Linked DNA regions of Oreochromis niloticus. The protein of the gene in region 2 interacts with the protein of the main gene of each other region in a pairwise test. Links are inferred from orthologs where the notes say so. Each region holds a gene or a part of one and is shown on either strand. Other genes may lie near its edges.

Region 1 (7,439 bases), on a different chromosome or scaffold from region 2:
TTTAAGACTGAAGGAAGTTTTAATTTTGCAACTTTTCAAATATAAATCACTTCAAAATGAGGTATAAAAGTTATGGTGTTTATGAGACTCAAAGAAGAAGTCTGTGTTTAGTTTGTGTTTAAGACTTATTCAGATTTTACAATTAATATTCCAAAATTGGCAGTACTTGGCTTTTATCCAGTTGTAAAAATAAGACATGATGATAATAATTTTAATTGTATGCAGCACATAAAGGGTTCTCTTTAGGCTTCCTCCCACAGTCCAAAAGCATGCATTCATGGTTGTGGTTTTAAATTGACAACAGGTAGGTATATGAGTGTGAACATGACCATGAATGTGAATGGTTGCCCATCTGTGTGTTAGCCCTGTGACCTGTGCTGGGTGTACCCTGCCTCTCCCCATTAAGCTGGGATAGGCTCCAGCCCCCCAGCATTAGCAACCCCATAGTTTTTCATTTCCAGTGAGTGATTTAAGGTGATTCTAGCAGGAAGTTGTCACAGTGAACTACATGAAACTCTTCTGGTGAGACGGGACCTTTAACTTACCCCTGTGTGGTTGAGGCTGTGACACTGACAACCATAATGGTGGCATTGGTAAGGATTTGCTGCAGCGTTTCATTGTTTTTGCATTTCTCCAGATTGTTTCCCAGCTCCTAGATACAAACCACAAAAAAAGAAGAAAAATTAGGGGAGAAAACATCATGTTCAAACAAACTACAGGAAACAATGTTTTTAACAGGTGCAGTTTTAAACTCTTTAATCATGTCAGTTTTGTTAAAAATAGAAATCCTAATTCTAACTAAAAAACAGAAACAGTCAACTCTGAGCTTCTTTTTTGGGGGGGGGGGTCAAAGATGAATACATAGTTCAGCTCACCTTGACAGTACGGATGTAATCCAAAGAATCCGGCACCAGAGACTCCAGCTCTGGAAACCTCTTGGAGTATTTGTCCCTGGTAAACTTGTGGATGATATCTAGAAACAAATCAGAAACACAGAGGACATCTCAGGTTATAAGGAAGAGAACTAAATCTCAAAACATAGCATTATGGATCACCAGAGAGAAGAAGCCAACTCACTGAGCTCGTTGTCGATCTCCACTGTGAGGTTATTAGCTGCGACGATCAGTCTGTATTCTGGGTCAGCCTCGACTGGGCCTGAGACTAAAAGCAAACAAAAAAAATAATAATAACAACTCCATGACTACTCTGGGTTACCATTAAGTTCAAATTAAATGTGTTTACAGAGTAAAACAGAGAAATGAATGGAAACTGATAGTGAGAAGAGCCTTAAATAATAATAACAACACTCACCCTCTGAGTTCTTACGCTGCTTTCCAATATATTCAGAAATTTTGTCCATTATCTCTGAAAACTGCAAAACACACAAGAGTCACTCTGGGAAGAACAGAGCAGACATTTTACTGCTAATCTCAACATGTGTAAAGCTCTTGTATGATACAACTCACCTGTTTGCTATTGCGAAGCTTTGCAATAGACGCGACGCTCTCAGCTTTACTGTAGTCCACCTCCATCTCCTCTGGGATGTCTTCCAGCCCTCCGTCTGCACTTCCCTGGTTCGGCTCTCCATCGCTGTCCCTCTCTTCTTCTGGGTACAGCCCATCCTCTCCCTCATCTCCGGCCTCCTCCAGATCAGCCAGGAGCTCATCTGCCAGAGACATCTGCAATCGATGGGAAAACTGTGAGGACAAGCAAAGCTGACTAGGATCAGTTTGCCTACATGAGGTTGTCACTGAGTTTGGTGGGGTATATGTTCTTTATTTGCTGCTGTTGATGTAACTCTGAATTTATTTATTTTTTTATTAATGATCTGGTTACATAACTTGAGGATCCCATATTTAAAAGGTCAGCAGTGCGATCACTGGCTCATCTAGTCCTTACTTACATTGAACTGAAGTGAAATTTGGGATGAAAACAAACCCAAAAAAGCTCCTCCTGATGTGTCACTAGCATGTGGGATAAACTAAGTGTATACAATAAGCCTCTGTATAAATGTGTGCATAAACAGATTTATGTGGCTTTTAGTGTAAAGAGCTTTAAGTGGTTTACAAGACCAGAGAAGTGTGATACAAATGCATTCTGTTTCACAAAATTATTTATGCTCGCTTTGGAGATTTCCAAAAATGTTTCCCAAGTATCTTCAATTATAGAACATACACCAATAATCTCAGCATTAGATCACATAAAAGTACAGTAACTTTTTTTTTTGTTTTAACTCTGTGTTGGGAAAGCCTACATATCTGATGAAATCCCTTGGGTTCTAACTGCTTGGCCTTTTTTGACTGTTTTCTGAGGGCTTATAAAGCAATCTCTACAGACGCACAACCAGCAACTAAAACAATATTCTTATTCTTAAATTCTTATTTTAAAAAAAAAAAAAAAAAAAAAAAGCACGTCTCTAATATCCCCTTCCTTAATAGTATTATTTGAGCACTAGATACTTAATACTAGTTTTACTCATTTATCAAACAATACAAATACAAATCAAATGCAAAAAGTGTGTCAATACAAAAACTTATGGACCTCGCTGTGTTTTCAAGCCTGAAAGAGAAATTCATCTGTAGACATATTTTTGTGACATATTCTTCTGACAAAGAAGCTCTTCTCAGACTCGTCTGAGATACTATCGAGGCCGTGTTCAGTCCCTCACACACTATCACCGCCACATAAAAACTGTGAAGTATTAAGTCTGCTTCCATCTTTGGGTTATCGCTGGCTGTGTTTGGAGTTAACATTGTTAGCTAGCTAGCATTAGCGAACGTTGGTCCGACGTTACTGAGCGATTTCTCAGTAACTTTGACATACCTCAGAGTTTCAGAGTCCTACTGGTTTAAGAAAAAATAAAGACGTCCAATGCAGGTTTCAGTCGCTTTGAATAGAAATAAAAAACGATTCGTCCCTCTGTTTTCTTGACTGTTTGCAATCCGGTTGTGCGGCGCCGATGTACCGCTGGTCGCAGATTAAATACGTACATTCGCAAAGCTTTGTGGGAAACTGTGTCAGTACACTTCACAATCACAGAGGCACAATCAATATCAGACTCTACCAACAAAAAGGCTCTCAAAACAATATATATCTGTGAATTTTTGCGTGTATTCTTGTAACTTTTTACCCCTGCCTTTGTGTGTTCATGTTCTGTTGTTTTGTATACTTCATCTGTTCGTATGTTGTATACTCATTGTTTGTTAAATAAAGTTTAACAAAAAAAAAAAAAAAAAAATCACAGAGGGTGTTTTTTGTTTTGCTTTTTGACACAGGTTTGATTATCTATCTATCTATCTATCTATCTATCTGTGAAATATATACAGTACATACATAAACTCGGTGTACAGTACAGTGAAAATATGGATTAAGATCTGTTTGAATGCAAAATACGATGCTCTAAGTTGATCTGAATGTATATGTGTAATAAGGCGAATAGGTACTGGTGAATACTAATGGTGAGTTATATTTATTTATTACAATATGCTTTTGGGTGTAACTGCAAATTTAAAATGAACCACTTAAAGTTGTTTTTTTTTTTCATGTTTTTCATAAGTATAATTTTAATTAAAGTATCCTCACACACACCTCCACCTCCCCTTTTACACCCTAGGGATAATTTAGTGGAAGCTAGGAAAAAAATGTTAGCATAATGACTTAGTCTCACAACACTAACCTTAATTTAGAGTTACTAAGTCAAAATTTCAAAATACCTAACCCAAAATGTTGATTTAAGGACATCAAAAATATACATAAAAATATTAATAATGATAATCAGTAGCAGAAAAAACGCTTCCATGTTTCCCAGCCTCACCTGTGCTGGGAGGTGACATTTTTATATTGTATCTACCTAGATTATGGAGTTGGGGTCATGGCTTTGCTGGCTGACAGGTTTTCCCAGCACAGACAGCTGGAGCAATCCATCTCATTTTCACTAACTGTGTCTGTGATGTCAGTGCCTTCTGAAGCATTAATTGATTTATAATATATAACTTGCTCTTACAGCCCATACGTCTCTGAGTAAAATTTCTAGTATGTCAATAGTTTGCAACTTAGCCCTCATTGACAAACATGTATCTGGATATAAGTGCAGCTTTTCTTGGTCATGAATGAAGTAAAAGTAACAATCGAGCTTATTTATATGACGCAGTTCAAATAAGAGGTTCACATTTCATAGTTTTTATTTCCCCCTTGTTTATACATTGCCCCCTGAAAACCATTCTTTAAACAATACAAGTTTAAACCAACATTTAAACAGACTAAACAAATTGACTAGTTGGATCTCGACTGCATGATGGACTGTTATTAGTAGAAAATGGAATAAATTAACAGATACACAAACAAATGGGAGTTATTTACTAATGAAAGGCTTCGATTTTTCATGCTAAGCTACATTAACTGTCATTAATTAAGATAAAAGAATGACGAGACAGCTAAAAATTCATAGACATCGGAAAATAATGAAACATTACAGGACGTTGTTCCATACATATTGGCATATATTAACAAGTAAAATTATACAAAATACTTTTTTTTTTGTTTAGCAATTAAGACGTTTGGGAAAATATTTTGATTTATTTGTTATGAAGATCTTGGAGAAGTTATAGACCTAGATGCATTTCTGTCCCAAACAAATTATAGCTAAGTTCATATATGCAATTGCACCAAAGCAAATAAATACATAACTTAATAGATTAAATAAATAATTAAGATATTGCATGGAAACTGACTTTACATAAATTAAGTAAAATAACATAGAAATAAATATAGAAATTAAAGCTTTTCAGAAATAAAAGTAAAAATAAACTGCTTGTTTCATTTTTCGTGCAGTCTAAGAATACATCTAAAAGTAAACAGCTCTAAAATGATACTGTATACACTTGTATTATGATGTTTGTACAAATGCTGAGGAGTATTGTCAAATACAGGAGTCAAGCAATTTCTGTTTCAAACTGCTGCCTACAAGAACAACTGACTGACTGCAATGAAAAATGTCCTTAATAAAGAGAGGACCGGGATCCAAGCGTTTACATAGACAGACGAATGACTAAAGAAAGTGCATTCCCTGCACACCCAGGGAAAAACAGAACAAAGCAGAAAAAGAGAAGGTAAGCTGGTACACAGCAAGACTCCCACTGCATAGCTGTCGAATCTGTTTCAGATTTTACAAAGCTCCCGGCTCCTCTTCGCCTAGCATATGCTGCCTTTTCCAAAGATTTCTGCAGCCAAAGGCTATGAATAAACTCTGTAAACAGTGGCAGGCCGGAGCTCAGCAACCCCCAGTCGTACAAAATCCCGTCACTAGTAAAACCTGGAATGTTTCCAGCTTTTAGAATCGAAGTCTCTTCTTTCAGTTGCCTCTTCAATAAAAAAATATCCTCTGGGCGAATGGCTGGTTGTTGGGTTAATTCACGGGCCAGTCCGAGAGGGTTGAGCTCTAAAGTGTTTCCAGGATGATGTGCAACATCACACCAGGTGTGGGTCATCAGCCGGGCTGACAGTGAAGCGCGATGAAGTCACTGAATTTGCCCCGACAGGTGACCTTGGTTTGACTGATAAATCCTCTTTCCTTTTCGATTCTTTGCTTTTTGGCCCTAAAAGAGACAAAAAACAACATTAGCATCATGACTGTGCTGGTGTTAAAACCAGAACAAGTGCACCAGGCATAAATACCGAAGCCCAAATGAACAGGATGTTCCCGGGCAATAAGCGTGTGTTTGACTGTAAGGGGAAGTTTAAGGAAAGTCTTTTTATTGGAATTAAACCAAAACATTCACCCGGTTCACAATCAATCACAACTGAAACAATTAAGTTTTCTAATCGTTTGTTGGCTGCATTGCACAAACAAATCAGAATCCACTAAGAAGTCAAAGAACTGTCAAACTTGGAGGACTAGAACTACCTAATTCTGCCATAAAAAGCAATGAAAATATATAAAAGGATCAGTGTGTCATAGCACTGAGCATGTTATATCAGCATGATGGTTAATAGGCAGGCCCGGCCCTTCCAACAGGACCACTCCCTCCATCATCACAACGAATAAGATCATAATTATCATCATCATCTAACAGGATACCAGCGATATGAAGCATGTGTGACAAAGCGATGTTTCAAGCTACCACTTTGTTTATTCTAAAGAGGTGGTGCTGGTTGTCTACCAATCAAGGACCAATCCCTGGCTCGTCTTGTGCCATGTGTCAAAGCATCCCTGGACAAGACACTGAACCCTGAGTTGCCCCCAGTGCATTGATGTGAGTGTGTGCACGTATAAGGTATAAACAGGCTGTTTGAATGAGACTCGCTTTGAGTGCTCAGAATTGAGTAGAAGGTGCCAGAAGTACCAATCCATTTACCACGAAGTTCTTTCTTGGTCGTTTTGTGCATCAACATTGAGAATCTGATATTATCAATATCATTCAGTACATCAGGGCGAGCATTACCTGCTTGAAGGTAATGCTGAGAAAAAGTACCTGTAAAATTACCAGTGTGACCTTGAGCCGAAGCACAGTTTGGATGAAGGCCCATTAGGTGATCAATGTGTAATTTTGATTAAATTCTGACCGATACTGTAGGAGGAGTAGGTCTTCTTATGAATTTTGATGATCAACCAATCTATTCATAGGAGAATGATGATCCATCTGTGACTGGGACACATGTTTACTCACTTATAAGATGCACAAGAAAAAACCCCCAGTACCAAGCACAGGGGAGAAAATCAGCTGATAATCTAGATCTTAATAGATCTAGATTATCAGTCAACAACCACACTGAGGCGACGCAGACTTAGTTTAAAATAACTCAAAAGTAACACGGATTCCTCTTTCAAAACTTTGAAGTCTTGAAAGGCTTGAAAGATCATTAAGGAATCTAATTTTGCCTTTTCTGTATGTGACACAGCTCGAAAGCAAACTCTGAGCCCCAACTTTCATTAGTCTGTGAAAAAGGGTGTTGAGTGCATGAGATGGAGAGTGGAAAGTAGCGAGAGCAGCTGAAAATGTGCAGGGAAACATGACTCGGGCTTGCATTGTTGAGTGCGGGATTAACATCCCTGCTAAGTTCAACATGTCACAGCATCCCGGGGCATAATTATAGAAGATTAACTCTGGCTCCATATTTGCAGCGGAGAGAGCTGAACTGAGGTTTTCCATTTTAGCTGGGAATGTGCTAGCGGCTGTCACATTTTGTTACATCATTAGGCAGCTCAAGGAGGAGACTAACTGAATCCCTGTGTAAGAAGCAGCAGACACTGATGTACGTAGAGTCCAACAAGCCAGCAGTTATGGTAACAGCTGTGTGGTGCAGCGCTGCACTGAAAGCTAACATCAGCATCAGTTATTATTAGTTTTGTATTTTCTCATTCGCTTTTATTTTATGTCGTTTAGAGTTTTTGTTTCAGTACAGATAATACAATATAAACATTTTTTGAAAGCAGCTTACCA
Region 2 (7,794 bases):
ACATTAAATACCAAAAATGTTTTCTTAAAAAATCCAAAACTTGTTAGACTGTCAAGAGAGCTCAAAGAATGTGATTGTGTTACTTGCTGCACACAATTTGTCCCAGTACTTTTTTTAAAATCACCAGAACAAATATTAAAGCAATGGTCTTGTTAGCACATTTATTATGTTTTCTACTCAAACAAGTACAAATGTGGTGAAAAACAAGTGAGTAATGAAAATCAGAAACAAATCACAGAGAAATAGGAAATTTGAATACCCAGCTGCCACCTCAGCTCAACTTCGAATATACAGAAGAAATTAATGGACTGATGGATGAACATCTGACTAATGAGTCACTGCTTTGAAGATCAGGAATTAATTACTATTAATCAGCTATAAAGAGTGCTACTAAAGTGCAGGATAAACTTAAAGCAGTAGCATAGAGTAGAGAACTAGCTGATATTCACAGAGGGATTCTTGGGAGAGGAGACTTGAAAGCCTATCATTTTTTAATCAATGTAATTTTATGATTATTCCTATTAAACGTTCTATAACAAAAAGCTGATGAACCTGAGTGCTGAAACAATCAGATGACATAACGTGTTCATTATAGTGTTTCTGCGGCAGCAACTGACAGGGGTAGAGGAAAGTGAGTTTTTGATATGCACATAAGTTGCTACACCAGTGCTTTTTTGGATAAATTATTAAACATCAGCATATATATTGTGGTATTGAAGGTACTGGAAATAGTAAGTGTTTTGAGACAAATGACAGACTATATTCAGCTGTCTATCTAGTCAAACTGGCTGCGACTCCAGCAGCTTGGACTGCAGCTGGTGATAGTAGTCAGCCAGTTCATCATGCACAGACTGCTCCAGGTTCTAGTTGGAATGCTGCTCATTTGTGCAACAGAACAAGGACTGCTATATATCCACAACCTAAGACACTGAATGACATCAAGGAATCATCACAACAGTCTTAGTCAACATGGAAATATAATACAGGACGGCATTCTTTCAAAATGAAGGAGACAATGCTGACGCTGTAGTGGGCTAAGTGGACAATCCTATGTATATTCAAGTCAACCGAACTACATTATATTACTATTATAAACTCATCTGGACTGTTATTTATACCATCTCATGAAATTATATATTAGTTCTTGAAATTCTTACCTTATGCTACATATTGCAATATGTAAAAGCCACAGTTGTGGTCAGGGGCTTAAAAAACACTGTCTCATGTGCAACGCCCTTCTTAGGTAAACATGTCTGTCATCAGCGCCCCAAAGAGGTGTAAATACTTCTACTCTGCTGTAGATAATAATTGGCAAAAAAAAAAAGAAAAAAAGTATTCTATCTATCTATCTCATATATATATATATATATATATATATATGTATACACACACACACACATATATGTTCTTCAGCCAAACACACAAATACAACACCCTTCAACTTGAGAGAACAAATCATGAAATGACCATCTACCAAGCACAAAAAGAGGATGTCATTTGACGACAACAACAACAACAACAATAAGGCAAACTGTTATGCTTACATTGTCTGGAGAGTTTCTGTCTGGTGAAGGTGCATCAAGTTGGCTGGATCCCTTCACCTTTCTCTTCTTCTTGGCTGCTCCTCCTTTTTCTCCTCCTACACTAGCAGGGGAGCTCTTCTGTTGAAATTCCTTCAGCTGAGTAGGAAATGAGAGAAGAAACCCATAAACGTGTGCACATGAACAATGTCTACTAATATATATTTATTTGTCACGTCTTACACATATAGTACCAGGACTCTGCAACTGTCCCAAACTATAGATATTATTTCAAACAAATTACACTCAACATCTCGAGCGTCTTAACAAGCTGAATGAATGAGGTAATAAAATTCGAATTCAGTGCTCCAATTCCAAAACAATGCACCAGCTAGCAGAAAGATCCGGCTTCAAACGGATGAAGTTAGTAAGTTGTGCTAAACAATGATAACCTGCGTATGATATGCATATGACGGTTAAAGCATACCAGAACGCTCTAACAGCTGTCTAAGGGGAACTGCTGGGGCTTTTTTTTTTTTTAACAGTAAAGCTAAATAGCAGCAAAATGACATGTCACCACGACCACTCAGTCGTGAAGCTTGTGGGCCAGCAAAAAATGCTGGCGAGTCACTTCTTGAATCTGATAAGGCCATCTTTCTGACTAGCCGAAAAAGACACCAAGCCAAAGCACACAGCAGGACAGGGAAGAGGGGTGTCAGCTGTCAAAACACCCCCCGTCAGTCCATCCAGCTAACTGTGCTACAGGGGTAGCTTACAAGCTCAATGAGTGCTGTGTTTTAAAACTACCGTTTGTTAGACATTTTCTTATGAAATTAAATTCTGCAGATAACACAAAAAGCTGGCAGGCTGCTGTGCGACATTCCTTAGACACACACGTAGCCATATATTCATCAGCTAGTTAGCTAGCTTGCTAACGTTAACTTGCCTGGGTTAGCACGTTAGGCTTTAACTACATTTAAATGTCAGCTGGAAAGTCAAGTAAAGCGGCCAAGCAAGTGGTGCAAGTTAATCTGCGAGTACATAAACAGCGTGGGATAGTATGCGTGTCTCTACTAACTAAAAATAGTCTACATAATCTGGGAAAGTTAATGCTATCAGCAGAGGCCCCGATGAAACATCGGTCTCTCCTACGCAACAGAGCCGCGAGAGGAGCGGAGGAGGTCGGACAAGCGACAGTGCAGAACTCGGGCGACGTGTAATGACAACACCCTTGCCCCGTAAAAAATATACATAACGAAAAGACAAGAAAACAGAGTTAACACAGACTTGTGTACATAAAGTGGGAACTACACTTTTCGCGCTATGTAACTGCGTTACTTGTAAAATACTTTACCTTTTTCTTAGCTGCAGCGAGTTTTATTTGCCTACTCTGGTCGGCCATCCTGCTGCTCTGGTGGTCAACTGAGCGAACCACGTCATCAGCTTGGCGCTCATACGCGTCTAAGCCAGTAGGTGGCGCAGAGCTCAAGCTGTGCCCTCGACATAGCATAAAACATCTTTATACCGTCTATGGCCGTGAGCTTACAACCTCACATAAATTAGCCTGAACCATGTTTTCTTTCTTTTGTTATATGAAATATATAAAGTATTATTTTCGACAGAGTTTAGGAAAAAATGTATTAACACCTTTGCTATGTGGTTGTCGGCTGCTTTCATTGTCTGTAGTTGTTGCTACTTTACCTTTGTGTTTCTCTATAATTAAGATAAATATAGCCTATTATTTTGTAGGTTACATTTATTACACAGAAATGTACCGTACAGTACTGTCTTATTTTATGTTTTAAAAAATGACTTTTTTCACTTTCTTTTTGTAATATGTAAATTTACCACAGGTGTAATGAAGTGTAGTACTGTGGAAAAAATCTTGATCCTCCCTTACACAAAAGAAAATAAGGTATATAAGGGAAATTCTAACAATTCTGTACAAACAAGCTTGGAAGTCTCTTTGGAATGACCACCTTTATTCTTTCACACAGTCAGAACGCTCTGAGGCAGATTTCTTGTCATTCCTCTTCAAGTCATACTCTTCCTTCCTCTTCTTGTCATACTCTTCAAGAATAATTCTCCAGGCTCCTTAAGGGACATTCAAACATTTTATAAAAAAATATGAGAAAAAAAAAACTCTACAAAATGTCAATCTATTAATTCATATTAATAGAAAGCATATCAGAAAGGGGTTTCCATACAACAAACACAAGGCGAAACCAATGCTAGTAGTCCTTACATTGTAATAACCTGTATGAAGGCCTTACTGATCACTTCCTCCTTGATTTAGCAACATGGCTCCTCCTAGTGTTAACTATGATATCCAACTCTTTTTACTAGATTTAAAAGTCCAAGTAAAAAGTTCAATTGTATACAAAGAAAATGACACATTAAACCCAGAATTTTCCATCAGGTTTGTTTCACTGCCCTGTGTGGTTTTAGTCTTAATGAGTCATCATTGTCTTTCAAGTTTACAGGTTAGTTTTGCTTTTGTTTGTAACACAAAGAAAGCAGATATAAATGACACAAATAGTAAACTGCCTGACAGTAACATTAGAAGGACCTTATAAACAATATAAACGCATCTTTTAGATTTTCTTGAATAAAATATAAGGAATTCTACTAACAGGAACTGGAGGCTTCTCCGTAACAATATGCTTTTCAATTCATCAGCATTAGCTTTAAAATGAGGGTATCCTTTGAATAGAATAATAAAATTTTCTGTAGAAATCCCTGCAAAGTCTGAAAAGGGCTTCAAAATAAAATAATAATAAAATACTTTGCATTACTTTAAGACAATAAAGAAAAAGATGAAACACTGAAATCTGATGTTCACTTGTTATTCTCCCATAAAACGTAATCAGAATTGGAGGCCACTAAGTAAGAGGTTTCCAAATCTAGACATAGAAATGTTTATGGTTTTTATGGGAAACTATGTAAATAAATAAATAAAAGAAATAGACAAAACTTAACTGCTACACTGATATTTTATAATTTTATGACTTTTCTATATTCTTCCTGACAGTACAACCGGTTTAGTTCAGGAACCTTCTGGAAATATATCAGTGTTAATAGAAGAATTCAGATAAATCACAGTAGGAGAAAGCAGATCAGTTCAATTCTATCCATGTAATGATTTTGGATTTTAGAAAATTCTTGCAATTAGTTAGTGTTTTTAAAATACCCATATCATAGCCTTGTACTTTGGCTGGTATATATTGGCACATTTGCCAAGGATCATATCTTGACAATGGCAGTCAGCTACCTTGACTTTTTAAGCAAATATTTGTCTTGTTGATTGAACTGAAACCCAACTGAATGTGCCAGTTTATGTTACCTTCTTATGTGTGCAAAAGATTTCAACCAAACTGAAATCAGTGTGATCACATGTATCTGTAGTCTTTAGCTAAGACTTGTACATTCACTGAGGAAACACCCAGACAACCCAGTTCACCTGGTACAAGATTTCCTGTCAGATTCATCACAATCACACAAAGGATTTGGATTTTCATACTCATAGCAGTTAGTCATTACGTCTCACAATTGCATCACTATCTCCTCGTAATGACACGCCTTAAAACCGCAAAATTAAGATTACAAATCAAACACTTGGTGGGCCATTGCAAAAAAAAATTATTGCAGCAAAAATCTGTAAATGTATGAAATGCGAGAAATGCATCCACCTCTCCCCCGGCATTGAGAGTGGCATGTCGCTGCACCAACTGTGTTCAGGATTGCCCTTGACAGACAGCCAATCAGCGTCGGCGCAGTGGACACATACGGTGACGTCTCTTCAACCTGATGTGTGCAAATCAGCGGCGGCCAGCGTGCTGAATGAAACCAATCAGCGTGTTCCAACGAGCAACAGCTCAGCCAATCGCGAGCCTCCACGACGGGAAAGAAGTGACGGCTTATATATGGAGAGACCACATTTCGTACAGCATCATTCTACACAAGTAAGGATTTGAAAGAGACAAAAGATATACAGGTTGCTCCAAGCGTCTTTTACCGGTAGAGGAAACTCAAAGGCCGTTAATTCATTGGTTGAACTTCTGTTAAGGTATGTATAAACGTTAATATGAATATGATAATGAAGCATCGCGGTATTTTCCATTTTCTGCAAAATGTTTTATTAAGGTAAAACCGGTTAAGGTCAATATTGACCAATAAACCAGCTGAAATGTAACTACACTACTGTCGTCTGAATGAACTGTACAGACTCTGTAACCTAAATATAATAAACAGGATGTAGTTTGGAATGTTCTAGCATGGTGGTTTCCCCCTGCATGTCTGCTAGGCATGGTAGCGTAGTTAGCAAGATACCGGCGAATTGGCGGGGGGGTGGTGGTGGTCATGACGGTGATTGACTGGTGATCCAACTTATTTTATCGATAATTCATATTTTCCTGTTATATTTATTCGCCAAGACCAACTTTTAGTCTGCCATGGGTCTGCAAGCTCAGCAAGTGACATTACGCAGTACCGTTAGTTTCTGGCTAGCGCACTTGGGAGGCTGAACCCATCTAATGTGTTACATTGTATTTCTTTTCTGCAGATCCGCTTGTAGATATAAGTACAAACAAAGATGAAGCTGTTCTGGGTTGTGATGCTGGTGGTCGGCACAGTGTTTGCCGCCGACGATGAAGACAAGAAGGACAACGTGGGGACTGTGGTTGGGATTGATCTGGGGACCACATACTCATGGTAATCACGTCAAGCTCTTATAGTGACATGATACCACCATGGAATAAAATGGCATTCAGACTAAATTCAAACTGTTTTCTTGCAGTGTTGGAGTGTTCAAGAATGGACGCGTGGAGATTATTGCCAATGACCAGGGAAACCGAATCACCCCCTCCTATGTGGCCTTCACCAGTGAAGGTGAGCGTCTGATTGGTGATGCTGCCAAGAATCAGCTGACCTCTAACCCTGAGAACACCATCTTTGATGCCAAGAGGCTCATTGGTCGCACTTGGGGTGATCCTTCTGTGCAGCAGGACATCAAGTACCTGCCCTTCAAGGTGAGCTTCTAAACTGAAAGTAAAACTTGTAGTAGTTGATTCTTTGGGTCATGTTTGAGTGAAATTCTTGTTAAATTAATATTGGTGTGTATTCCTATGAAGGTTACTGAGAAGAAGAGCAAGCCCCATATCCAGGTTGACATTGGTGGTGGCCAGATGAAGACCTTTGCTCCTGAGGAGGTCTCTGCTATGGTGCTAACTAAGATGAAGGAGACTGCTGAGGCTTACCTGGGCAAGAAGGTACAAAAAGTCAGAGATTGTAAATCAGTGAAAAAGCTAATCTTAATTAAATGGTGTATCATCAAATCTAACTTTATCCTTTTTCCTCAGGTCACACATGCTGTGGTCACTGTCCCCGCCTACTTTAATGATGCCCAGCGCCAGGCCACTAAGGATGCTGGTACCATTGCTGGTCTGAATGTTATGCGAATCATCAATGAGCCGTAAGCATCCAGTCAAAATGAATTTGATCATCTGCAATTTGAAACTGTCAAAAAAATATCTCTGCCCTCCCTTCTAACAATAAACTCTCATTGTATTCTTTAGAACTGCTGCTGCTATTGCTTATGGCCTGGACAAGAAGGACGGAGAGAAGAACATTCTTGTGTTCGATCTGGGCGGTGGCACCTTTGATGTCTCTCTTCTGACCATTGACAACGGTGTGTTCGAAGTGGTGGCCACCAACGGTGACACTCATCTGGGAGGTGAGGACTTTGACCAGCGTGTCATGGAGCACTTCATCAAGCTGTACAAGAAGAAGACTGGCAAAGATGTGCGCAAAGACAACCGTGCTGTGCAGAAGCTGCGTCGTGAGGTCGAGAAGGCCAAGAGGGCGCTGTCTGCCCAGCACCAAGCCCGCATTGAGATCGAGTCTTTCTTTGAGGGAGAGGACTTCTCTGAGACCCTGACTCGTGCCAAGTTTGAGGAACTGAACATGGTAAGATATTAATTTGGTTCTGAAAATATTGCGTATTAAACCCAATTGGAGAAATGGTTGACCAAGGTTTTTTAACCTGTGTGTTCTTCAAAACCCAGGACCTGTTCCGTTCCACCATGAAGCCTGTACAGAAGGTGCTGGAAGATTCTGACTTGAAGAAGTCTGACATTGATGAGATTGTCCTGGTTGGAGGCTCCACCCGTATCCCCAAAATCCAGCAGCTGGTGAAGGAGTTCTTCAATGGCAAAGAGCCATCTAGAGGCATCAACCCTGATGAGGCTGTGGCATACGGAGCTGCTGTGCAGGCTGG
Region 3 (7,211 bases), on a different chromosome or scaffold from region 2:
CCCATTGACTTCCCCATCCTTTTTATGAGGTGGGTGTGAGAGCGCACAGGCGCACTTTAGATTTTGAATTATCCGTGCAGATTTGATAGCAGCGTTGTATGTTAACTGGAGTGCGGTTCCATCCATTAGAATATGAGCATGCATTTCTATGATATAACAATAAAAACGGAATCTCTGACTGTCTTGCATGAATAGAAACTCAAGTTTAGCAAATGGCTAATTGATTGGCTTAAAAATCAATACCAGTCTAGCACATGAGGGTGAGTCAAGGATGCATGTGAACTTTCAGTAAACTGCACCTTCTCTCGTCACTTAAGACTGCTCAACATGACCAGAATGAGTGTCATCAACAAGCTCTGGTTGGGTGTCTGGCACACCTACTTGAATATTTAAAAAGGCTCTCTTTGCTAATTAAATGATCCTTTTTCCACTGTATTAAAAAAATTAGAATAAAACAGCCTTCGCTGAACACAGATCCTGTTTGTGTCTCTTGCAGAGCTAACTCAAGTCATTTAGGACCAGTTTTCTGTTCTTTTGTTGACTGTAAAACAGGACAGACCGCGTTATGACCTGCAGAGGCTCTCTCCTTTTGCTTTGTGCTCTGTCAACATGGCGCCACGTTTGGCGTCTTTCAGGGCAGGCCAAAGAGCCTTCAACCAGGACGCCTTAATGAGCACTGATGACGTTAGTACAATTTGAGACACATGTCGTGCAGAAATGCACCAAACTTTGCGGACGGTTGCATGACCATGACAGATCTACATCAGCTTAGTCCTGCTTTTAACTTGATTTAATATCACAGCTTAATATAATCCAGAAGAAAAGTTCTACGGGCTATGAGAAGCACAGTTTTTCCTTTTAAATTCATGCAAGATGTTTAAACGATCTGACTTGCTCAGTAAGGCTGCAACAGCAAAATACGGAAAACTGAACACACAACCTGGTGATTTCCTCACCTGATGTAGTCGTTTCTACAGAGGATCATGCCACTTTTTGTGTAGCACGATGTGCCGATCTCACCCAGCTGGGCCTGGCAGCAGGAGCACTTGAGGCATCGGCTGTGCCAGTAGCTGTCCATGGTGTAAAGGAGGAAACGGTCCGCAATTTTGCCCCCGCAGCCGGCGCACCGCTTCCAGGACAGAGAACCTGTGCCCACCGGTGGTGGCTGGCTGCTGCCTCCGGGATTCACCATCGTACCTGAGAACACACAGAAGAAACCATGACAGGTTGCTGTTCAGACTTCTTTTTTTTCTTTTACACTTAAGGACTGCTTAAGTGCACACAAGGGTCAGGACTTACACAGCTATGAGTTGACACATTTGTCATAACTGATCAGTTATCAGCTGTTTGAACATACTGTTGTATCTGCAGCTGCGAAGCCCGATCTCTGCTACAAGACAACCACAAGACACTTAGTGAATTAATCTGCCCTTGATCTCTACGCTGTTGCTTCATCAGACCTCTTGTGATGAATGTCTATTCACTGATAACACTGTGGGGCCAGAGGAACAATTACACAGCACGGGCCTTTGTTGAGCTGTCCTAAGAATTTCTAAATGGCGCACAATTCCTCACTATGCAAAGAGGTGATGTCCACAGCAAAACTCAAGGGAGCGAGTAAAGAGAGGCTGATGTTTGGCACATTAGTTGTGATGCTGCATGAGCCTTTGACCTCAGCCAAGTATATGATCACGCATCTACACCACAGCCCTGATACAGCGATGTGCACACGCTGTAATGATGTTAAATGTTCTAATCTACTGAAATGCAGGCATTTGTTTCACCCACCAAATTAATGTGGGCTCTTTCAAATGTAATCCTCTCCAATTTGGTCAGGCAGCCTCGCCTGGATAAAGCCAAATCTTTGTTGAAAGACAGGTAGGCTAATTAGAGTTAGGAAGAGGGAGGCTGGGGGGTGCACAGAGAAAAGCATTCAGTAAGCCCATTAGCGATGGCTCTTAGGGACAAACCACAGCGTACCTTAGTGCTGATTAAATCTAAAAGGAGATGAATCAAAAAAGCCGACCTGAAAGTGACTCCCGGATAAACAAGACGGGGCCATCATCAAGTTTCATTCAGAGGAGTTTCCTTTTTTTCCGCTGAGGGATGGAGGGGACGGGGAGGGGAAGAGGAGGGGGGTGGCTTTTAACTTAAATGGGCTAACTCAAGTAATTACACGGGCAAGCAATTTGGAGACCAAGTCATGGAAATAGAAGAGGGAGCGAGAGAGACGGAGGGGGGGGAACATATCAGACAGCCATGTGCTAAAAGCTTCTGTCCGCTGCCTGCTGCCTGATTTTGTTTTTGAAATAGAAAATAAAAGAAATGCAGCTTCACATCTCAATTACTACAAGCTAAGTGCTTAAAAAAAAGACCAGTGTAATGTCGGCTGTCACATCTGAGCGCAGGCATTCTTAAAATAGACACGGGAGGACTCAAAACCGACTGTTTCCACTCTGAAAACTACGGACAATTACAGGTAGCATATATACATATAAAAATATATATACAGCGCAAACACACAGAACAGCTGTACCAGCGGCAAACACCCACCTCGTTTGTCTCCTTTCAGGGTAATGGCTGTAAAGTTGATGGCTTGAATGGCAGGTAGGCGAACAGGTAGGCTACAACAACAGTACCCCAAAAAAGTACAGGTAGAAAGCGGACGCACCACCGAGCGCGGTCGTCGGCCTCCAGCTCCGCGCGGCAGCGAAACCCTCGAGCTCGGCTCTTCAGCAAGCAAATGGAGTTATCAGATAGTATTTCCACTGGATGCTTCCCGTTTAACTGCTGCTGCCGCTTTTAGTGCTCTTTTTCTCGCTGGAACAAAAACGAGTCCATCACAAGCCGTAATTACAGGTCTGCGCATGCCGTTGAGTCCACAGAGCTGGGGAAGTGCGTGGAGAAGAGGGAGGGAGGAAAAACAGAAACACGGAGGCAGGCAGAGAAGCTGTAATTGACTGTCCTCTGCTCTGGTCTCTGGGTCCCGTTAGCTGCTTGTTCTACATGTGTCGCTGACAGGAAGAAACCTCCAGTAAAAAAGCCCCTTCAGCCGCGTGACGAAAGGGCCTCGGCAGCCAATCAGCGCGCGGTCCATTTAGGAGGAATAACAATTCTGGCCAATCAGAGGGAGGCGAGACTGACTCGGACACGCAGACAGAGAAGGATGGAAACGGAGGTGAGATGGACCGGAGAGAAGAGACACGCAGCAGTCCAATGTATACAAGCCAAATCAGGGGCAGAGACCAGATTAGAGCGGATTTATACGCCAAAGAAAATCCGTAGAATAAACTCAGTGTCCTGTTTAAGGAGCTTCAATATCACCGTGATAAATATATTATCTCTTCCAAACGTCCATAATACTCGGACATGGAGAGATTGGATATGAAGCATTGTAATAATATAAAGATTAAACTGTCTCCATTGTCAGGACTACTGAAAGCTGCATAGCAACATCCTGTAGGCTGCATTCATCTCACGCCCGACTTTAATTAGTTGACATTCAATAACTACTTAGTTTACCGAGGGTGACTCCAACCTCTGGGAAATATCAAGCCCCCCTAATAGCTGCGTAGTGGCGCCATCGTCTGTCACTGAAAAAAATCGCAGCGAGGCCTGCTGTCGTTTACAACCTCATTAAGCCTCGGGTCATTGGTTTCAACACCTATTAAGGCTAATCTGCAAGACCTGATTTGGCTGAGATCCTTTTAATTCCTTCAGTTTGAGTTTTTCCACCATCACGTGACACATCAGAGATCCCATCAACTGAAGGTAACTGTGACGCTTTTTAATAAAAATGAAATGTATATGGTGGCGACACCACGACAGAGAGGCGGGGGGGCTGCTCTCCTTGTAAAGAAAAGCTGCAAACAAGTGACGTCTTCAGTTTAACCAAAAACAGTTGCTATTGGAGAAAAGTTTCCCTGTTTGAGATTCAGCAGGCTGAGTGGTTTTACATGACAAAACGGCTCTCTTATAAGATGCCCCTGGCTTCATTAGAAAGACGTCAGATGTATAAAGATGATCTTTTTCTTGACTTTAATTGTTTAATTATTCCTGCAGCTCCGAAGAGATCGCGCTGCATCAAGCTGATTTCCCTTTTGGCAAAGCCAGTGCTACTCCGCCTTGGTTTGAGCCACATTCTCCTGACATTCTCATCAAGCCTCTCACTCAGCAGAACAAAAAAACCCCACGGAAGATTGCAAAGAATGTCTTTTCCACCAAGGAATGATTAATTGATATAAATGATTAAAACAGAGGAAAATTATGAAATGAATTTGAAAAGAGGCCTCACAGGAAAAGCTTTGTTTGTTCCGGGCCTTTTTTAATGAGCTTTTCATAACTGGGCAAGAGAAATTACTCTGCGTGTTCTTTTTCTGGAGCTCTTTTGCAAAATAATTATGGCTAGTTGAAGTGAGGAGGAGGTGGAGGGGTCAGGGAGACAAGGAGGGAGAGAAGAGTGGGTGGCTGGGTAGGTGGGGGTTCCCTCAGAAATTGATCACCTCCTTTCTCCGCTGAGATCTTTGAGTCCTGTGGCAGTTTCCAAGCAGCTGCATTATGACAAAAAAAAAGAAGAAAGCAGCCAACAACAATATGATTGAACACTATTTCAGTGTTTAAACAGGGACAAGAGAGCGTCAGATGTGGCTCACAGTGTTGATACTCCCCACAGGGGTGATCTCACTGAGATGAAAAGGAGACCACGGTGCTTCATAATGAAGCTGCTTGTCCTGTGGGAAAAAGCAGGAGAGCCGCATTGAGCACGGTGGTTAACTTCAGCCTGGGATTCGCTCTGTGTTCTCGTGTATTGACGTGACACTGAGCCGCAGAGAGGCCGGTTTCAGCCTGAGAGTTTACACAAAACCTCCAGGTCACTCCAACTTTCTCTCAGGCTCACATTCTGAGATCGCGCAGCTACATGTGGCCTCGTCCGCCATTTGCGATACGACGTTGCCCTCGCTTTACTGCATATGTTGTCTGTAAAAGAGAATGATGTTCGTTTAGCTGAGCCAACTGATCAGGGAAGATTAGAGTTCAGATTATCTGCAGATACAGAGAAGCTGCTCTAGGACTGCACACAGCGTGGCACAAAGATCTCTGAGTGAAATCTGCTAAATGAGTAAAAGGTTACTTACCTAAAGAGGCATTAAAGGAACACTTAAAGTCCACATTCTCTGTAAAACATGTTGATTCAGGATGCTTCTGAAAGTGATAAACTGATTGATGCCAATTTCCTGAACATCTAAAGTGCTTTTTTCTGGATCAGACACAACACACCAATACACACAACTTTGTGCATCTGGGGAAATAGCAAAGGTTTGCAAAATGTTAAAGTTATTATAATTATATAATCCAGGGCTGTCAAAGTCAATTTCATCAAGGGCAATATATATATATTTTCTTCAAATTCTTTAATTCGATCAAAAATGCGTGCCCTGCATAGCCTTCTCATGTACAGTTTGATCCACATACTTCACCCAGGCCACAAGAGTGCTCCTTTGCCTTTCCATGATGGGAATCTGCACACCGTCCCAAAGAACCTCTACTGGATTTAGATCTGGTGACTGTGGAGACCATGTGAGTATTATGAGCTCATTGTAATGTTCAAGTAGCCAGTTTGAAATGATCTGAGGTTTGTGACATGTTGCGATCAGAAAATGGGTACACTGTGGTCATAAAGGAATGCACATGGTCAGCAGCAATACTCAGACAGACTATGGTGTTTAAATGATGCTGAGCTGGTACTAGTATTCCAAGAAATATTCCCCACACCACCGCCGGCAGCCTGAAATGTTGATACAAGGCAGGATGGATCTGTGCTTCCATGCTGTTCATGCCAAATTCTGACGCCACCACTTGAAAGTGGCAACAGAAACCGAGGCTCATCTGACTAGGCATCGTTTTTCCAGTCTTCTAAAATCCAATGTTGAGAATGCCCATGTGAATTGTAGGCTCAATTTCCTGCTCTTAGTTGATAGGAGTTGCACCAGGTGTGGTCTTCTGCTGCTGTAGGCCATCTGCTTCAAGGTTCAATGTGTTGTTCGGTGTGTGGATTTTGACTTACTGTTCCTTTCCTGTCAGCTCAAAGAAGTCTGGTAGTTGTCCTCTGACCTCTGGCATCAACACAGCATTTTCACCCAGTGAACTGCTGCTCGTATTTTCTCAGACCATTCTCTATAAACCCTAGAGATGGTTATGTGGGAAAATCCCAGCAGATCAGCACTTTCTGAAATACTCAGACCAGCCCATCTGGCATCAACAACAATGTTACATCAAGTCACTTAAATCACCATTTTTCCATATTCTCTCAGATTCTGAACTTCAGCAGGTCATCTTAACAATGCCTAAATGCAATTTGTTGCTGCCATGTGACTGGCAGATTATATATTTGTATTAACAAGCAGCTGAACAGGTGTATCTCATACACATGAGTTAAGCTTCATAAGTAAAAGAAATAGATTTTTCATCATGAATTTTTCTTAAAATTTTATTAAGAATCTAAAATAATATATGGATTAGATAACATTTTGCAAAGGGACAAATTTGGCTCCATGGTCTTGAGTTTGGCACATGTGGCATAATCAAAGCTAAAGAAGAGTTTGCAGATCATAGCACAATCATGCATGATATTCATGTGACTATACTAGACAATATAGTATTGTTTGTTTCTGATGTTTACTTATTTTTGGTACCAAAATAATTTACAAATGGGTTATTTGTAAGTAAACACCAAACGTTTTTAATTCAACTTTAACTGAGGATGTCATAGCACATCTGTGCTCACATTTGGCCAAGTATGAGGTACTCAGTAGTAAATAGCCCAAGATTTATATGGCAATTTTGCATTCTTACTGACCACTCAAAGTCAGGCAGTGTTTTCCACCCTCGAGTCACTACTGCACAGAATCTGGTCACAGGAGCAGAATGGCAGCACACGTGTTCATTTCCATAACAGTGTAGCTTCTCTTTTGTAAAGTGAAAGGAAGTGGGGATAATGCATCAGTCATATGTAGGGGTGGCTGTAGCTCAGGTGGTGGAGCAGGTCATCCACTGATTGGAAGGTTAGTGGTTTGATTCCTGGCTTCCCCAGTTTGAATGCCAAATATCCTTGGGCAAGATACTAACCCCATGTTGCATTCATGGGGTGGAATGAATCCATTCATTGGAGTATGAATGTTAGATAAGCATTGGGTGAATGAGTTAGTTGTATA
Region 4 (7,568 bases), on a different chromosome or scaffold from region 2:
ATATAATAATAACCACTGCAGCCAAGAAGAGTGCCTGACGAGCCCATTTGTAAGTAAATGGTAAATGGCCTGTATTTATATAGCACTTTACTAGTCCCTAAGGACCCCAAAGCGCTTTACATATCCAGACATCCACCCATTCACACACACATTCACACACTGGTGATGGCAAGCTACATAGTAGCCACAGCCGGACGATCTGATTTCCTCGTGTTGGCGTTGTTCCCACATCATCATAATAAATGTTGTTCCAGGTTCAACATTGCAAGTGACCAATCACCTTCTTGTGACGTCATACTTCTGCGACTTATGATATAAAACAAACAGGGGCTAAAAGAGGCTATGGTATGTCTCTGGCAACTTTAACACGATGTCCCAGGACAAATTTGTAAATTTCTGGATTACTGTTAATCTCCATAGAATCAAGAACTCATGTCCAGTTTCACGGCTATGGACCAGTTAATTATGTTTCCAGGTGATAGTTTGATTCATAGATTCAGCACACAACCATTAGTCTAGGCCTTTTAGTTCAAATTCTCTTCACTTATGTTTGTAAAATGATCAGGGAAGCTACTGCAATTTTGCCTGACATTGTTATGACAGCTATATTCACCTGTACATTTATTATATATCATAATATATTGACGGGAGAGCTATATTCACCTGTACTTTCATAATAAATCATAATACATTGACACGCAATTCTCTGTCTGGAGAACACTGGTTCGCAAGTAGCCTATCACTAGCAAACAAACAGCTATCCATTTCAAGGAAAACATATCGAACCGGCAACCTTCCGATTACAAGGCGAACTCCCAACTCTTGAGCCACGATCGCCCCACAGTAAGTAAGCTGTGGGGCGTAAGCTAGTAAGCTATTAAGTAAGCTATTAAGTAAGCTATTAAGACTCAATTGTACACTGTGTTCGTGTTTTCCTCCGGAAAAAATAAGTTCCGTTGGAGCAGCCTTTCAACGCCTCTCTCTGTCTCTGGCAAGCAAAGTTGACCCAGACAACAAAGTAAAGCTATTTTTCGGCTACCAGCCCGACACGGAACCCACTGTATTAGCCCGAGGTCCCTTTACTACTGTTCGGAGCCGCGGACCTTCAGTAACAGTAATAAATCACAGCAATAGTACATTCACGTAGTTGTAAACAGCATGATAATATATTAAGTAATCCAAAGTATTCAGAATACGTTACTCTCATTGAGTAACGTAACGGAATACGTTACAGCAGGGGTGGGCAATTCCAGGCCCCGAGGGCTGGTGTCCCTGCAGGTTTTACACGTGTCCTTGAACCAACACAGCTGATTTAAATGGCTAAATTAGCTCCTCAACATGTCCTGATGTTCTTCAGAGGCCTGGTAATGAACTAATCATGTGATTCAGGTGTGTTGACCCAAGGTGAGATCTAAAACCTGCAGGGACACCGGCCCTCGGGGCCTGGAATTGCCCACCCCTGCGTTACAGAATACATTTTGGGCCATGTATTCAGTATTCTGTAATGGAATACATTTTAAAAGTAACCTTCCCAACACTGCTAAACAGTTATTTGGGCTGCTGTGAAGCTGATCTAATGATGAAACATTTCCATCCAAATGGGAGTGTTTTTCTTTTCCATGCCTCCATTCACAGGGTGTAAAGGTTTTCACACTAGATAAATAACAAATTCAGCAGGTCTGGATAAACACAGTGGATTCACTTAGGATTTAATACTGGTTATACCATGCACAACAAGGGCTTGCAATGACTCATTGTTATACAGTGATATTTTGTAGGTGTAGTTAGTATGCCAACCTTTATTCCATTCGTAGCCATTCTACTATAATGTAGATAAAATATAAAACATTGCATCCATAGTGAAAGTCAGATTCTAGTTTGTTCTACCTGCTTATAAAGGATTCCTAAATATTAACATAAATAAATAAAAAACATTCATTTTTAAGTTGAATCATGGGTGTGTTGTACAGTCTTCTGATTTGCAAGTTTTGTTTAATGTATGTCTGTACACAAACTACACTTAATTCACTGTAACACCTTGTGCAAAATACAGAATTTATTTGCGGATTCTGTTATAAATATTAGGAAGCCGGACAGTGTCAGATGAGCTGGCAGGATGCAACAGTTTTTGCTATGTTAGGTCAGCATTTTCTACACAGTACAGAAGACATTAAAGTGTTAGATGTGTTGTTTAGTGTCTTCACACACTGTTTTTGGTCAAATAAGCAAAATCGCATAATACTTCAATTTAAGACTGCAATGCTTTCTAAGAGTGGCTGTGAGTGTGTTTATTTCAGCAGGGTCTTCATAACTCTTATGGAAGAACCTTTGTAACCACCACCAAAGTGGTTCCAGTGATTCAGGTAGTGGAAGAGTTGGTAAAGCTGGTTCCTCTTTGCAAATCCTGGTGCTTGGGGAATCTTGCTGTGGTATGCAGAGTAAAAAGCGCTGTTGAAGCCACCAAACATCCCAGCAATACCCAACTCAAACTCAGAGTGCCCATAGAAGGAAGCAGGATCGAAGATGACTGGGCCGTCTGCACACTCTGCCACGTTTCCTCCCCATAAATCTCCATGTAGGAGAGCGGGGACTATCTCCACATCTTTGAAGAACTGGGGGATCTTCAGCTGGAAATAAGAGACACAACATGCACATTACAATGCTGAAACAATCATAATGTCTTGTGCAAAATATGTTTAATTTCAAACAGAATCAAAGGGAGGTTGCACCTGTAACTCAGCCCATAGTTCTCTGGTCTCCCTGTCTCCATACGATTTCTCCACCACGTTAAGCTGGTGCTGTAGCCTCTGCTGGGTGTAGAATGCCACCCAATCACTCTGCCATTGATTGTCCTGGAGAGGTAAGAAAGAGAAGAAACTGTGATGCTGCTGAAATTCACTTTAACATCTTGAAGATTTGGAGACCAAACATTTGTAACACAACTTAGAGACATCAATACTGTACACCTTCCCCTAGAATGCAGACACAGTATATCGACACGTATACATTGGCTTTACCTGTGGCAGATATCCACAGCATGTAGTTACATGGAAGCCAAATTTTTCAACAGCAGCCACATCTGACTGACCCGCTCCTTTTCCTGCATATATAGCCGCAATATTAATAAACAGTCATCACAAACGTTTTACCTAAAATATGACACAGTTCATTATTATTCATTGGTGTGTGTGTGTGTTCTTGTCTAGCTATCTTTGTGAGGACCGAAATCTGCATTCTACTATACTTGTGAGAACCAGCAGTCACTTGTGAGGACACACAACCCGGTCCTCACATTTTTGAAGGCATTTAAAGCCATTTTTGAGGCTTAAAACGTGGTTTTAGTGTCAGGGTTACAATTAGGTTATGGTTAGGTTTAGGGTAAGGGTTAGGGTTAGGCATTCATTTTTAATGGTTAGGGTTAGGGTAAGGGGCTAGGGAAACCATTATGTCAATGAGGGTCCTCACTAAGATAGCTGAACGGGGTTGTGTGTGTGTGTGTGTGTGTGTGTGTGTGTGTGTGTGTGTGTGTATTATCCACATTGTGGCATCCTAAAATTAAGTTAAACTGAATTACCCACTGTCTGTTGCTCTTTATTTAATTTTTCCAGTTGTTTCTTGTTGTGAAGATGCAGATCTGCCATCTTCTCTCCTAGCTGTTTTGAGTACCTGCTCATTGCATTTAAAAATAAAGTATGTCATTGAAAAAATATTTTGCTCAGTGTTTCTAAAACTAAATTCATCTGCCCAAATTCTGCTTTAAACTGCACTAAAGAAAAAAATGTAGTCAAGAGCTCTCTTACTTGCTAAGACTGTTCATGTCCAGATGTTCCATCACAAATACAGAGCCTCCCGTGTCAAGCTCAATCACCTTTATGGGCTTGGGGACTTTCACGGTTTCTGTCTTTACAATAGCCTCCAAACTGGCCACTTCTCCATCAAACATCAGTTTGGCCTGGATAAATTAAAGACAGGACAACACGGTCTGGTAAACACAAGCTTCAGTAACTGTAAATATTTGCATCGTTCTCCACTCCACAACACCCGCACAAAGTCCACGGACAGTAGTGTGGTGCAGCTGCTGGATCATGTCCTATTCATTTAAGTCCCGAGTTGAGCACACGCCGAAAGCCGACCATGAACTAACTGAATGACACAACAGTTAAAGAAAATGAAAAACTAACAATGGCAGATACCTCACTCTTGTGATTTGTCTTTACAAACACTTTCCCAGTGTCAGTATGATAACTCTGTCCCTCGCTGATGCATCCACCTCCAGCATGACCAGCTGATTTCAGCATGGTTGTCCCCAACTCCTTCTTTAACTTAGCTTCCATGATTATTTATCATCAGTTCCAGGACAGTTACAGCAGGACTAAAACCAACTACGCATTGCAAATGCGGGTATGAAAGTCTTTCTGACAGTTTCCGTTGTGGCAGCCAACCAGGACTTTGTCCCGAAGCAGGATTTTGTTTTGCTTCCGGTATGTAAATAATGATAGAGTAGTAGCCAATCATAAACAAGTCTGGGTTGTTTATGATTGGATTGATTTCTACTTTGTCCAATAGTTGCGACGTCTGCCCGGTCACGTGAACGTCGCCATGGTGCCAAGTGAGGCTACAGCTATACGCTACGAGTTTAACTATGGTTCTGCAGAAAAACCGGCATGACCAGCAAAGAAATGTGTTTACTCCTCGGAGCGACCGGTGTTGGTAAGACGTTGTTGCTCAAACGTCTACAAAATATCCTTTGTGGCCATGTGAATTTCTTTGACGTAAAAGGAAATACTACCAAATAGCTTAATTAGCTAACTAATTTAGCCTATGAGCTTGTGTAGTACTTAAGTTGCTAAGTAATGGACGACCAGGGTCTGTATATCGCCTTTCCCAATTGCCAAATGTCGATACCCAGTGTTATTTTATTTTGCATCGGTATGTGTACAAATTCATCTTCATAATAAGACCTCTAAGAGAGATTATTATTACAATATAGAAGCTATGATAGCCCTTATTAGTTTGGAAATTCGCATTACTGCAGAAATTAGTGCTGTACTGTAATGTGAAATTGTCAATGGTCAGAAAGTGGATAATAACAATAATAATTATAATTATATAAAACAATAGGAAACATGTACAAGGTAGAAGTATAATTTAAATGTGTGTACATATATGGCGCAGTGATAAAATATAACATCTTTAGATGCCTAGAAGCAACAAAACAGAACCCCCAGATGATGCTAATAGGAGATGGAGTGTTGAAAACAGTTGCACACTGTTATTTATCAGTCCCTAATGTGTGCATGTGTAAATATACATGTGTTTTACTGCTGCGGCTCTGCTAGATGGAAAGACCTCCAATATTGCTCCTTTACACACCGTGGGTCCAGCAGCCTGACGCTTAAGAAGCTGCTCAGTGCTGTAAGAGTGTCCTGCATTGGGTGGGAGGTGTTTAGCTACAATGCTACCGGTCACTTACTACCTCCACTGGGTCAAGAGGGCATCACGTTGGCACTCTTGGTCTACCTGTTTCAATTCTTTTTGTCCCCAGTAGAGATACTGCTGCCCCAACAGACCAACACCATTACAGATGGCTGTTGGAACCACAGAGTCATAAAATGTCTTCAGGAGCTTCTCCTGCACTTCAAAAGTCCTTGGCATACTTACCAGATACAGCCTGCTAGCTATTTCTGTATTTTTCCAGTTGCTTTTATTCTAAAAATTATATTTCAGAGATTGAAAGGGAAGTGATCTGCAACAGCACAAGTTAAACACTATCCTCCAGTTGCCTAGATTACATGCATGGGGCCCATCGCATATAAACTTTGCCCAAATTGGTGGATTATTAATAAACTGTCATCTGAGCAGATGACATGATCTCATTTGTGAGGTGACAAGTGAACAGTAGTCTCTCAGCTGTGACATCACCAACCTTACTCATAACAAATATTCAAGTTCTACTTTCATAGCTCATAAAATATTGCATAAACATTTCAAAATGTTTTTCTTTAAAGCTGATAGCAATGCTGGCTCAAGTCAATTTTCCTATCAGATTTCATTTACAGTTTATCGTACATGGTTTAGATGAATTAGGGACACCACCTTCAACTCTTCCCACAGTAAGTACTAATGGACAGTTCAAATTCTCTGACACCTTATCCGTGTAATTTCTTCAATCTCCAGTCTTCATTCTTTGTAGGTAGGAACCAATCTGACAGACCTGACCGTGAAGAAGAAGAAGGTGACTGTGAGAGAGCTGGGAGGCTGCATGGGCCCTATATGGCCCAGTTACTTCAAAGACTGCTCCTCTGTCATTGTATGATCTTTGTATACATGCTGTTTATATTTGTAATATTCAATATGGGTTTTCTAAATTGAAGTGTTTGAGTAGATTTCTTTTGTTTACATTTCTCCATAGTTCATGGTGGATTCAGCCAACATTGCTCAGATATCCTCCTCCTGTATCCAGCTGCTGTCAGTACTCTCAGCTGAGCCTCTGAGCAAGGCCTCTGTGCTTATTCTCTTCAACAAGAGGTGACACTCCTAGAATACACATCAGTCTCTATTAGTGTTTTACTATATTGTACAAGATCTCTAGCAGGTTTAATGCAATTTGTATGTAATAAGGAAAGCTAATAATACCACTAGGAAATTTTTGATTTTCTTTTCCAATTTTAAATTTTTCCCCCAGGGACACGCCTTGCACTATGAGCCTTATAGAGATAAAGTCACTGTTCAGGATGGATGACATTGTTGCATCTGCGACTCAGCCAATCACAACACTGGAAGTCAGTGCCAGATCTGGAGAGGGACTTAAAGAGGTGATGAGCTGGCTGGAGTCCGTCACAGTCAAGTGACATACGCTTACTGACTACTTCATTAGGTACACATGTACAATTACTCTTTCATGCAAATATCTAATCAGCTAATAACATGGCAGCAACTGAATTAGTTTAAGCATTGAAACATGGTAAAGATGATCTGCTGAACCGAGTTCTCTGGCCTTGTTGTTGTAGATGGTCAGAGGAGAAGGAGACCAGAGGGGCTAAGAACAGGAAACAGGCTACAGTTTGCACAGGCTAACCAAAGTTAGACATCAAAGAATTGAAAAATGTTGCCTGGTCCAGTGAGTGTCAGTTTCTCCCGGGAATTTGGATGGTATTGTTACAATTTGGCATAAATAAAATGAAAGTATAGATCCACCCTCCCTTGTATCAGAGGATCAGGCTGGTAGCGGTGTAATGGTGTGCCAGATATTTTCTTGGTACCCTGCACCCAGCAGGATAACGCAGTATGTCACAAAGCTCCAGTCATGAACTTGACAATCAGTTCACTGTACTCAAATGGCCTCAAGAGTCACCAGATCTCAATCCAGTGGAGCACCTTCAAAGTCTGGTGCAAACTCACACCATGGTTGTGCACATGACAAATCTGCAGCAAGTGCATAAGACTGTCAAGTCAATATGGACCAAAATCCAAGGAATGTTTCCAGCACCTTGTTAAATAGAATTAAAACAGTTCTGAAGGAAAACTAGTGAGGTATACCTAATAAAGTGGCCAGTGACTGTGTGTGT

The links.
Region 1: the proteins of golga2 (region 2) and prpf31 interact in binary tests that used the Homo sapiens proteins (3 or more experiments, as listed by UniProt). The two-hybrid records come from large-scale screens. The link is inferred for Oreochromis niloticus from reciprocal best matches to the Homo sapiens genes GOLGA2 and PRPF31.
Region 3: the proteins of golga2 (region 2) and lmo4b interact in binary tests that used the Homo sapiens proteins (3 or more experiments, as listed by UniProt). The two-hybrid records come from large-scale screens. The link is inferred for Oreochromis niloticus from reciprocal best matches to the Homo sapiens genes GOLGA2 and LMO4.
Region 4: the proteins of golga2 (region 2) and arl16 interact in binary tests that used the Homo sapiens proteins (3 or more experiments, as listed by UniProt). The two-hybrid records come from large-scale screens. The link is inferred for Oreochromis niloticus from reciprocal best matches to the Homo sapiens genes GOLGA2 and ARL16.

What each region holds. Positions count from the first base shown.
Region 1 is NC_031976.2:22,012,211-22,019,649, forward strand, and holds the start of prpf31 (U4/U6 small nuclear ribonucleoprotein Prp31), read right to left. Parts: upstream 3,003-7,439; 5' UTR 2,824-3,002; intron 1,698-2,823; 5' UTR 1,680-1,697; coding exon 1,467-1,679; intron 1,373-1,466; coding exon 1,312-1,372; intron 1,162-1,311; coding exon 1,078-1,161; intron 974-1,077; coding exon 876-973; intron 653-875; coding exon 546-652; intron 1-545. Other genes in the region: uncharacterized protein lmtk3, read right to left, coding at 5,467-5,594. UniProt on the Homo sapiens protein: Involved in pre-mRNA splicing as component of the spliceosome. Required for the assembly of the U4/U5/U6 tri-snRNP complex, one of the building blocks of the spliceosome.
Region 2 is NC_031972.2:20,385,412-20,393,205, reverse strand, and holds the start of golga2 (golgin subfamily A member 2), read right to left. Parts: upstream 3,006-7,794; 5' UTR 2,923-3,005; coding exon 2,875-2,922; intron 1,680-2,874; coding exon 1,545-1,679; intron 1-1,544. Other genes in the region: endoplasmic reticulum chaperone BiP, read left to right, coding at 6,112-6,230, 6,316-6,547, 6,650-6,787, 6,878-6,990, 7,094-7,484, 7,583-7,794. UniProt on the Homo sapiens protein: Peripheral membrane component of the cis-Golgi stack that acts as a membrane skeleton that maintains the structure of the Golgi apparatus, and as a vesicle thether that facilitates vesicle fusion to the Golgi membrane.
Region 3 is NC_031986.2:31,964,658-31,971,868, forward strand, and holds the start of lmo4b (LIM domain transcription factor LMO4b), read right to left. Parts: upstream 3,012-7,211; 5' UTR 2,554-3,011; intron 1,198-2,553; 5' UTR 1,193-1,197; coding exon 957-1,192; intron 1-956. UniProt on the Homo sapiens protein: Transcription cofactor. Plays a role in establishing motor neuron identity, in concert with MNX1, acting, at least in part, to disrupt LDB1-LHX3 complexes thereby negatively modulating interneuron genes in motor neurons.
Region 4 is NC_031969.2:22,590,637-22,598,204, forward strand, and holds arl16 (ADP-ribosylation factor-like protein 16), read left to right. Parts: upstream 1-4,552; 5' UTR 4,553-4,664; coding exon 4,665-4,740; intron 4,741-6,046; exon of another isoform or gene 6,047-6,057; coding exon 6,058-6,113; intron 6,114-6,193; coding exon 6,194-6,310; intron 6,311-6,412; coding exon 6,413-6,528; intron 6,529-6,685; coding exon 6,686-6,851; 3' UTR 6,852-6,877; intron 6,878-7,010; 3' UTR 7,011-7,456; downstream 7,457-7,568. Other genes in the region: fn3krp (ketosamine-3-kinase), read right to left, coding at 2,289-2,627, 2,730-2,852, 3,018-3,100, 3,575-3,666, 3,801-3,952, 4,194-4,334. UniProt on the Homo sapiens protein: May suppress the RNA sensing activity of RIGI in a GTP-dependent.